Linked DNA regions of Arabidopsis thaliana. The protein of the gene in region 3 interacts with the protein of the main gene of each other region in a pairwise test. Each region holds a gene or a part of one and is shown on either strand. Other genes may lie near its edges. The genes, in order: AT1G51580, LSU2 and VAR3.

Region 1 (3,757 bases), on a different chromosome or scaffold from region 3:
TGAAAAGGAAGTCTTCCAGGAAACATTGCTTCCCGAAGCCTACATAATATTTGGAACAAAGCATCTTGAACAGTTTTCAAATTACCAATGACCTGCCAATCCAGCAAAAAGGTGTCAAATAACAAGAAAACTACAGAGTTGAAAAACTTATCGAGGCCGCGGATGTTATATAAAATTTACCTGAACAATCTCATCATGTTGTGATTCATACTTTGTAGCTTGATCTTTCGCAAAGACGCGGATGCTAGCACCAGTTGCTCTCCTCATTTCACTTATCAAATGACCCCCTTTACCCAATAGACGTCCGATATATGGAGAATGTACAAGAAGCCGGGCAACAACAGCAGCACTAGGTTCAAATCCAATCTCAACAATTCTATTATGCACACGCATCACACCATCTTGGGCAAGAGAGTGCCTTCTCTCCAAGTTCTACAACAATGTAAACCAATGAGACAAAGTATCCAATGATATACATAAACCAAATCCATGGAGCAAATCAACATACCTCTCGTGCCGATATCACAATAATCCGCTCCTCTGAATCATGAGTTGGATCCGAAACCTTGATTGACGCACCGCTTTCGTTTTGCAGAGCTCGCACCACAGCTCCACCTTTCCCAATCAAGCTTCCAACTTTATCAGCCGGGCATAACAACCTGAACGCAACCTCCTCTTCAACAACCGGTCTATTAAAGGGTCCAACATCTTCAGGCATTGGATTAGGAGGAGGATGATCCCATTGAGGATGATACTCCATAGAATGATACTCAGGCGGATAACCAGGCTGCGGAAACGGACACTCGTCCCATGTTGGAGGTGCACCACTTTCTTGAAGACAGTTTGTAACCAACAAAAGCGCCTTCTTCACACTCGAAAACTTTCCATTCATCTTCATACAAAAACATTACTAAATCAGCCAAAAAAGCTCTATAAATTGAATAGCCACAAAGACACAAGAAGCTGTGTATACCTGAATCACAACATCTCCAGGGAAAGCACAAGGAGGAATCTGATCAGTAGATGAGATCCTAACAATAGCTCCACTATCTTCTCTAATCTTCTGAATCATCTTCCCTCCTTTACTCATCAAGTAATCTACTTGATTACCTCTAACAATCATCCTACACAAACCTTCACTCTCACCTTTATCCAATTCATCACCATCAACCGTAGCAGCGTCATCGCCAAACACTATTCTTTCGAAAACCCTAAGTAAAGCCATCTGCGCCGACGACGGCGCTTCCTCGTCATCTCCACCACTAGTCCCCGCACACTCGCTCCCTTTCTCTTGCTTAGGCTCTTCAGAGCCAGGGTTTTCGGAATCACACACATTCGATTCGTCCTTCTTCTTTCCACTAGGTGCGATTATCAACACTACACGCTCTTCTGAAGGAACGGGAATATCATCGATGACGCGGATTTTTGAACCGGTTACAGATTGGAGGTGTCGAATGACTGAGCCGCCTTTTCCGATTATTGCACCAGTTCTTGTTGCCGGACAGAGAAGACGGAAATGTACAGACTCCGCCGCCGTCGCTGTCGTCGCCGGACGTTTTGAGGTAGAGAACTCCATTAGTCGAATAAGCTTAACAACGTCGTTTTGAGTTTAACTCAAAGGCTCTTAAATGTTTTAAAATCTGTTTTATAAAATACCACTAAACTATGTTTTTTCTCTTTTCCAAAAATATTTTAATGAGTTTATTTTTTCGAAAATACTACAACAAAAATTTTGTTCCAAATTTATTACAAACACCAAAATTAATTTTTCAAGGTTTATAATTTAAACTTTTGAGTTTAGAATTTGTTGTTAGGATTTAGAGTTTATTTTTACGGTTTAGGATTTAGTTTTGAAAGTTTAAAATCTAGTTTTTGTTTTGTGGTATGTTTTGAGAAAAAAACTAGTGACAGTATTTGTGGAACAATAATACTCAATTTAGGTATTTTTGAGAATTGCCATAGTATGTGAGACTTTTGAGTATTATTTGAAATAAAAGTTCTATTCATATTTTCGTACTTAAAAAAGGAGAGAAAGAAATAAAAATTTATATTGTGTAGTCCTTTTCAAATCAAATTTCATGATTATGAAGAAAATGTTTTTCACTTATTGGCCTTTTTTTTTTTCTTTCTGCCAACTCATAAAATCATTTTGAATTTAAAACAAAAATCGAAAAGAGCAAAAAAAAAAAAAGCAAAAGGAAGAAGAAGACAAGAAAACCTTCACCACTCTACTTCAATGTGTTTTACTTTTCTCTCACTACAGTCCTTTCTCTCTATCTCTTTCTAAAACTCTCTCAATGCTTATCTTCTGATTTTACGAGGAAGAAGAAGAAAGGATTCTTCTTTACTTCTTTCTTTTTTTGGGGGTTTAATGTTAAGCAGATTCTGAGATTTCTGGTGTAAATCGTTTTCTGGGGTTGTTTGTTTGTTTTGAAGATCTAACTTATAGATCTAGTGTTTCTGAAAGAAGAAAAAATCCAAACTTTACTAGTTTCAAAGATGCAGAGACCACCTCCTGAAGATTTCTCCTTAAAGGAGACAAAACCTCATCTCGGTGGAGGCAAAGTCACCGGAGATAAGCTCACAACCACATATGACCTCGTCGAGCAAATGCAGTATCTCTATGTTCGTGTCGTAAAGGCTAAAGAATTACCAGGTAAAGACTTAACTGGTAGTTGTGACCCTTACGTTGAAGTTAAGCTTGGTAACTACAGAGGAACCACTAGACATTTCGAGAAGAAATCTAATCCTGAGTGGAACCAAGTTTTCGCCTTTTCTAAAGATAGGGTACAAGCTTCTTATCTTGAAGCTACTGTCAAGGATAAAGATTTAGTTAAAGATGATTTGATTGGTCGTGTTGTGTTTGATTTGAATGAGATACCTAAGAGAGTTCCTCCTGATAGTCCTTTAGCTCCACAATGGTATAGATTAGAAGATGGGAAAGGCCAAAAAGTTAAAGGAGAGCTTATGTTAGCTGTTTGGTTTGGTACTCAAGCTGATGAAGCTTTTCCTGAAGCTTGGCACTCTGATGCTGCAACTGTTAGTGGAACTGATGCTTTAGCTAACATCAGATCTAAGGTTTATCTCTCTCCTAAGCTTTGGTATCTTAGGGTTAATGTCATTGAAGCTCAGGATTTGATACCGAGCGATAAAGGGAGATATCCTGAAGTCTTTGTGAAAGTGATAATGGGAAATCAGGCATTGAGGACTAGAGTGTCACAAAGCAGGAGTATTAATCCGATGTGGAATGAGGATTTGATGTTTGTTGTAGCTGAGCCGTTTGAAGAGCCTTTGATTCTAAGTGTGGAAGATAGAGTTGCGCCGAATAAAGATGAAGTCTTGGGGAGATGCGCGGTTCCGTTGCAGTATTTGGACAAAAGGTTTGACTATAGACCGGTGAACAGCAGGTGGTTTAACCTTGAGAAGCATGTTATAATGGAAGGAGGAGAGAAGAAAGAGATCAAATTCGCCAGCAAGATCCACATGAGGATTTGTTTGGAAGGAGGGTATCATGTGCTTGATGAGTCTACACATTACAGTAGTGACCTAAGACCAACTGCAAAGCAACTGTGGAAGCCTAACATCGGTGTGCTTGAGCTAGGGGTCTTAAATGCGACCGGTTTAATGCCCATGAAAGCTAAAGAAGGTGGTAGGGGAACCACGGACGCGTATTGTGTGGCAAAGTATGGGCAGAAATGGATCAGAACTCGGACAATTATTGACAGCTTTACCCCAAGATGGAACGAGCAATATACTT
Region 2 (3,480 bases), 2.6 Mb from region 3:
CACTTAAACACAAAACATTTTGTCAGAAAATCCGTTTTATATGGTTAGAAAGAAATACAAGATAACTATTATCATTCTCATAATTCAAAGAGATCTCCTCTCGGATCATCAGTTTCCAAGTCTCTCCAAAGACAATTCTAGTTATACTTCAAAAAAAAAAACATTATAAATATTTGTTTGTTTTAATTGCATCACAATTTATGAAAAATTAAAGGGTTTTGGTTAACAAAAAAAAAAGACTAGACTTGTTTGCCCACGTCAGGTCACCTGGTTCTGTCAGAAACTAGATTTGTTCAAAAACAAACCCTTTGTTTATATTTGTACATAGTACACTGGCGTTGGATCCGTATATTCGTTTCCCTTTTTTCTCCCAAAAGCAAACCAAGTTCTCCAATTTTACTATGTCAAACTCTAGAAAGACCAAAACCACTGTTGCAATGTCAATGATTCAGTAGAATTCAAACACTTCTTCATATAATACGCAAAAATCTAAAAGCAAAATCTTTATTTGTAATTTGGTCATTTCACATATAATAATAGGAAACATGACCATAATTGCTTTAAATTTTCTTTCTGTTAAAGTAATTTACACGTCTTACAAACAAAATTCCATTTTAGTCAAACCAAACATCGAATATCATTTACTTTAAATTGTTTTCAAGACTTTTCATTCATCATTAATCGCAAAAATCAATCGGTAACAACATCGATTTTTTTTTTTGATTGAAACTTCCATATTTGTTTTAAAGACAACTCTACATATTGGCATTGATATGAGCCGATAAGAGGATACATCAAACAATCTAAAAAACCTATCTTTCTTTAAAAGCAAATATCTATCTAATTCTACGGAGAGGCAGAGGCAGAGTCTGAAGAAAGACGAGAGAGCTCGTTCATGAGAAAGATGATACGAGAGTGGTAATCACGAGCCTGGTCTAAAGATTCTGCTTCAAGCTCGGCTAGCTGTGAGCAGAGACGCTCCTCCGCTTCTTCCGCCACCTGTGTCCGCCGCCACAACTGCAACATCTCTTTCTTCATCTCCTCCACAGCTTTCTCCATCTCTCCGTTCTTCCGTCGTAGCTCGTCCACTTCGGAAGCCGCCACCGTCACATAGTTTCCTCCTTTCCCCATTTTTAAGAACTTTTAAAGGTTTTCTAAAGATTTCTCCTTTTGGTTATTTTGGTCACTTTGAGTTTTTTTGTGTTTTGTTTTGGTTCTTGAACGTTCCTTATTAATAGGCGTCTTTGAGACTGGGGTTTGGGTGGGTTTTATGTCTAGGTTCAATGTATCTATATCTCTTCTTCTTCTTTCTTATTTCTGGTGAGTTATTTTCTTCCTCTAGATTCTAGAACATTTTCTCTTTTAAATTATTTTCGATATACACGTTGGGTCCAATTAATATTTTGGAATATTTTAGTGGTACCATATAATTGTTTTATTGGTTAGAGACAAATTTGTTTTTAGAGGAGACACGAGATAAGTTATAATAAAAATTTATCAATCAATATAGTAAAATGTATTGGTTCAGTCATAATAACTCTTGTCATTTCAATAATACATATGGCAACGGATTTAAAATGAAAAATATTTGTTTAAACTGATATTTTTTTTTTAAAATGGAGTATTTGCTTTCTAAGAATGAATAAATTTCTTTGTCTAATTGAATAAAGTGGATTAAAACATATTTTGGACCATTTTACTTTGATCTAATTGCTATACATATAAAGTAATGAATATTTCATATTTACTGGACCATAAATACTAGTAATTCAATCTATTTATACAAGTCTAAACTGTAGCTCGTAAGTAAAAGTAATGAACAATTCTTACATTATAGCCCCAATGAGCTGTCAATTTCATCAAAGACAACTATATGTTAATAGATCATAATAATACATCGTCTTAATAATGGTCCTAAACTCAGGAATAAGTTGTGCAAATATGTTTTCATATACGCATGTAAAGAAAAGATTGTGACTATTATTGAAATAACATGAGTTATATTTATATCCACCAACTCTTTATCCTCAAAGAGGATATATATATCCGCTGTATTATGCTAACATTACCATTCTTGCACTTGAAAAATGACTTTAATTAATTGAACATTTTATTACCATGAATTGAACAAAATTTCTGAAAATTGCTTCTGAAGCATCCAATTTTCAAGATTTTATATATTCATTCTAAAAACTTAATTCAATAAACTCATGTAACAACAAACTAATCGTTGAATATATTTTCTTCTCGAGAACGTTGACTGGACACTAAAAGAATGAAAGAGTAGTACTATTTGAATTTTCAATGAAACCCCACTTATTTCAAAGGGGAACTTCTTTTTTTTCTTTTTTCTTTCTTTTCTGTTTTGCTATTTCATAGAATATAGAGAAAATAATTGTTTTCCACTATTTCTCTTAATTGCTAAAAGGCATGTAGAAATCATTTTCTCACCTTTATATTTTCCACTAATATATTCCGCCAATTATAGCCATTAATTAACTTGGAGCAAAGCCTTTGTCGATGTAACCCACATTCCCACTTCTTTCTCTTAACTGGAGTATTGGACAATATCTCCCAAAGTCAAGGGCTGTCACGATTATACAGCTATTCTTGTATAGTTAAAGTTACGGCTACGATTCATAGTTCTTAAATTACTTATTAGCTATTTCTTTAGTATCTTTATTGGTGTGTATGGGGAAAACTAAGAAGACTTTGGTTATGAATGGTGTCATGAAGCATAATAAAATAATACGGTGCGGTTTGATTTTACTCTTGGTCATGTTTTTGTGAATCATATTTGGACAACACACCAACCTCAAGAAGTAGGGTGATTCAAGTATAAACTGAAAAATCATAAGCGTTAAATACCGATTAATACAATCATATATATATTTCGAAACTTCAAAACATTAGTCAAAATTTGATAACTCATTTATCCGTTACTCGCACCAAACTAATTAAGATATCTATTCAGCTTTTGTTCTATTCGTTCTACACCATTTATTCTTTACAAACTACATCTGTTATGCTTTATTTGTCTGTTCGTTTTGTTCTATACGTCACCTTATGATGTGTATCTTCGTTTTCCTAGCAAAGGTTGGTCCAAAAAAATTGATGGCCCGAATCAATATTGTTTTTTTCTCTCTTTTTAGCTATAATTCAAAATCTTAAACAATATTGGTTATAAAATTATGTAAAGTTGTGTTAAATATATTGGAAAACACAGAGGGACCGGTCACCAACTGTTGAAATCTTTAGTTGGAATATGCTCTATGGATGCTGATCAGTGACCACTATCTAATTGACTAAAAAAATAATCATCATTCATCCAAAATATCCTAAATAGATTTTAAAACACCCAATTACATCAGCAACTATATATGTTACGTGAGCAACAGCGCTATACATGTAGAAAATAATTTCCAGTTTTTATAACATTACAAGATCACCATAAAAAGTACGGATGTTAAAATGGGCTAA
Region 3 (3,757 bases):
TGCTTTCTTTTCGTTTTCGACCAGTCTTCTCTCAAGTTCAGGGTCACTTGAATAATCAGAGTTGGCTGAATTGAGTGAAGAGTCCCTGGGTCGCTTGCAGTCACATCTTAAGCAAGCTACATTCCTCCCGTAATTATAGAAATCACATCTGATAAGTGAAACAACCAAGAAAGAAAGGAAAGGTTAACCTCATCATTCCTCATCGCATTAGTCATAAAGTAGCAGAGAGAAAAAATCAGTTTCTTACTGAGGACACTCCCATTCACTACCAGTAAGCTGTCTCTTTGGTCTTGCTTCATCACACTGGAAGCATTTGACATTTCTCGCAAAGTTCATGCCACTGCACCTGTTTCAACAAATTCCCACATCATATATATAGATTCCCTAAACGACAAGATGATGAAACAAAGACAATTACACCATACTGACTTCTTAGCTCTAAAAATAAGATCTTTCGACCACAATACTAGTGTAATAGTCAGAAGTATACTTGTTCAAGCTCAGATCCAGAAGATTTTTTTTTATGGTATCCTTATATCTAGGCCTACTTATATCTTTCCATAGAAGAATGGTAACCAAAAGGCCATAGGAGATTTACACCAAAAAGCTACTGAGAATCCAACAAATTCATACCTCGAGCAAATCCAGTCACCACGTTTCATCTCAACGTTATTCTGAAAAGACCTGACTCCTTGTCCATCTCTATCTGAGTACTGATTTTGCATCGTGTCATGAACATTCGACTCAGGAGGACGCAAGCTCATCTTCGCTATCTGACTCAAGAGGCTTCGAACCGATGACTCCATAATCTCTTTGTTATGTTGTTTGCTCTCCTCAGAAGAAGCAACATCCACAACATAACTCAAAATAAGCCTCATCAAATCAACTGTACTCGCCTTCTCCATATCCATCAACTAATGTAAAACACAAAAGATCATAACTTTGAGGCACAAATCACCATTGAACCAAGTTTAGACATAACCTAGCATTCACCAATAAAAGACTAAGCATTTGCCAGAAGATAGAACTTACCTTACCAATGCCCTGAAGACCACTTCTTAGGTAAAGGCTCATCCTTTTAAGTGAATCTGGACCTGTCTTGAATAAAAATGGCTTTCCATTCTCCACCAGCACTTCAACGTCTCTCCTCGAAAGCATTCTAATAAACACTAACATCATCAGATATTCAGATTGAGAATCAATCCAAAAAGAGAAAGAGAAAAAATTGCAGATTACTTACTCAAGCAGTTCTGGTCGTTCACGAGCTAGAGCTAAGCAAGCAAGAGCTGGACGGAGAAGTTCATCAGGAAAACCGGGAAAGAATTCACTTTCTAAACCAGAAATCGAACCGGAATCTGAGAAGTAACCAGCTTTGGAGAGAGATTGGAGTAGCTCTGTCCATTCAGGTAGCTGCTGGTTGTGATAAGAAGGAACAAAATCTGCGGCGGAGACACGGACTTGGTGATTGTAGAATCGTCCTATAGGAAACGTGGGGATAAGCGGCGGCAATGACACGAGTGGACGGAAAGAACATAGATTGGTTGAGGCAACGGACGAAGGAGGAAACGCACGGCGGTGGAAACGGCGGAGATTGGCTATGCGGCTGATGTAGAGACCACGGAGTAGAAAGAGAGGAGGAGGATGAGGAGAGAAGAGGGAGATGAGTCTGGTGGAGTTGTTCATCGTTGCTCGTCGTCACTGGTTTTATTTTTACCGGCGAGAATTATTTCAGTGATGTTTAAGGAAAAAAAAAGGATTAATAAATCGCAAAATAATTGCAAAATGAAGAAAAAAATAAGCCCATATTGGCTAACATAGGCCCATAATTCTGTGTGCTACTACTTGGGCTTGCCATTATGAATGTTTGGTAACTTTGGTAAATAATGTATTTCATTCAAATGGGATGTCTCTTAAAGAAAAAGTAAATGGTTTCGTACTAATAATGGAATTAACCCAAGTAACGAACTGATAGTAATCTAATCTAAGAGATGTTTTAAAGATAAGCGTAAGTTTTATGTTGAAATCTTCAGTTTATACAATATAAAAAGGAGTTTGCAGATTCGGTATTTATCAAATTGCACGTCGATTTGACATCAATTTTCGTGACTTGAAAAGTTGAAGTGTACATTGTACAATGTCATACGCATGCATACATTTCTTTTGACTTAAAGCCGCTATAACTTTAAAAGATTTATAGTCATACATTTCTCCGTTATTGAATTTTCACTTACTTAACAAACCTCGATTATAGTTATACTTCTACATATGTTCGTAATAAGTGATGTTTACTTGTTTAGAGATTTCAATTCACATACGTTATTTAATTTCTAACTTTTGTTTTTCTTAAATTAATAAGTTTATATGTTACAACTTACAACTTTCGAAAATAATAGATGATATAGACTATTTTTACATATACTATAGAAAAAAGCTATGTCAAGGATCTAAAATAGTTATATTTATTATGTATTAGTACTTCTTGGTTTCAGAACTTATACAATTACAATATATAATAAAACCTAAGAAATAAAAATTAACTAAAAAATAATACGTTATGAATATAGTTTTATATAAACGAAAGAAACGAAAATTAAAACATCAGTGGAACTAAAAAGGAGAGAATAATATTTGTGTTCTCTTGAACGTGGGAGTCACTGTGAGTTAAAGTTGGGTGTGGATTAGTTGCCGATCACTGCCGTCAACTTTTGACTAATGTTTATTCTGATTAACACTTTTACATACACTAAGCTATTTATAATGTAATAACTAATTTCTTTGTTTAGATCTATGTGGAGTAAAATATTGGTGAGTACGTAGACAATTAACTGCCTTGATAATGACTTCAATCTAAGTCCGTAAGGTATAACCTCATTAATTCCCCTAGAAATGTATTTTATCATAATTAATTACTATTTATACTTTGATGTGACATGTTTAGTTCTATGCCACAAGTGCAATGGACGGGCTAACAACTTTGACATGATTTGTAATTAAAATTCAATTTTAATAAAGAGACTTTATGTCATTACATCATGAGATAAAGCCCTAAATTCCTCAAATTAGTTAAAGTGTCTTCTTTAAAACTAATCAAGAAGTTTTAAAGAAACTTTTTCTATGTTAATGTAATTAGTGTGACTTATCTCATGAATCATGATTATCCGAACATTATTTTAGCGCTTGGAGTTTCGAAGTTACCTTTTCTCGCCACCTTTTGTTTTCTGGGTCTATTGAAAGATTGTCTCAAATTTTAAAAGGATAAGAAAAACACAATTCCATTAACTTTAATCGTACAAGTGAGAGTGTTAGAAATTGTGGTTAAACAATGATCAATAACCACTAACCATTTCGTAAAATTCACCGACGACTTTATCAAATGACGAACATGATCCGATGGATCCACGAACTACCGAAAGAGAAGTAACCTCAGAACTATGTAGAAAAAGCAATCCTATTATTCATTCGAACTAATTCAATATGCAGCTAGTTTTTTGGTCTAACGACTTCTTATCGTACCATTTTTCATCTCTTATCATTTTTACCATATTCAACCATACCACCATTTTTATCACTATTTTGTACAGTTACAAAGCTCTTACCGTCTTGCGCTATTAATCGGACCATTAAACAACTTCACATAAAATTTTATATTAGACGTTTGAATTTAAGTCGAAGTTTTGATAATCTTAAATGTAACCCCTAAAATACAGTCGATAGTATTTGATGAAACAACTCCCTCATTAAAAATCGATTACTTTTA

The links.
Region 1: the proteins of VAR3 (region 3) and AT1G51580 interact in a two-hybrid assay, tested with the Arabidopsis thaliana proteins (one large-scale study listed by BioGRID).
Region 2: the proteins of VAR3 (region 3) and LSU2 interact in a two-hybrid assay, tested with the Arabidopsis thaliana proteins (one large-scale study listed by BioGRID).

The regions. Positions count from the first base shown.
Region 1 is NC_003070.9:19,123,431-19,127,187, reverse strand, and holds the start of AT1G51580 (RNA-binding KH domain-containing protein), read right to left. Parts: upstream 1,606-3,757; 5' UTR 1,577-1,605; coding exon 974-1,576; intron 893-973; coding exon 509-892; intron 433-508; coding exon 181-432; intron 93-180; coding exon 1-92. Other genes in the region: AT1G51570 (Calcium-dependent lipid-binding (CaLB domain) plant phosphoribosyltransferase family protein), read left to right, coding at 2,500-3,757.
Region 2 is NC_003076.8:8,442,626-8,446,105, forward strand, and holds LSU2 (response to low sulfur 2), read right to left. Parts: upstream 1,477-3,480; 5' UTR 1,132-1,476; coding exon 847-1,131; 3' UTR 654-846; downstream 1-653. UniProt on the Arabidopsis thaliana protein: May be involved in defense responses monitoring. Probably implicated into osmotic stress signaling.
Region 3 is NC_003076.8:5,870,989-5,874,745, forward strand, and holds the start of VAR3 (zinc finger (Ran-binding) family protein), read right to left. Parts: upstream 1,795-3,757; 5' UTR 1,684-1,794; coding exon 1,241-1,683; intron 1,160-1,240; coding exon 1,033-1,159; intron 915-1,032; coding exon 634-914; intron 347-633; coding exon 248-346; intron 149-247; coding exon 1-148. UniProt on the Arabidopsis thaliana protein: Probable component of some protein complex required for chloroplast and palisade cell development. Involved in C-to-U editing of chloroplastic RNA. Controls a large number of chloroplastic editing sites.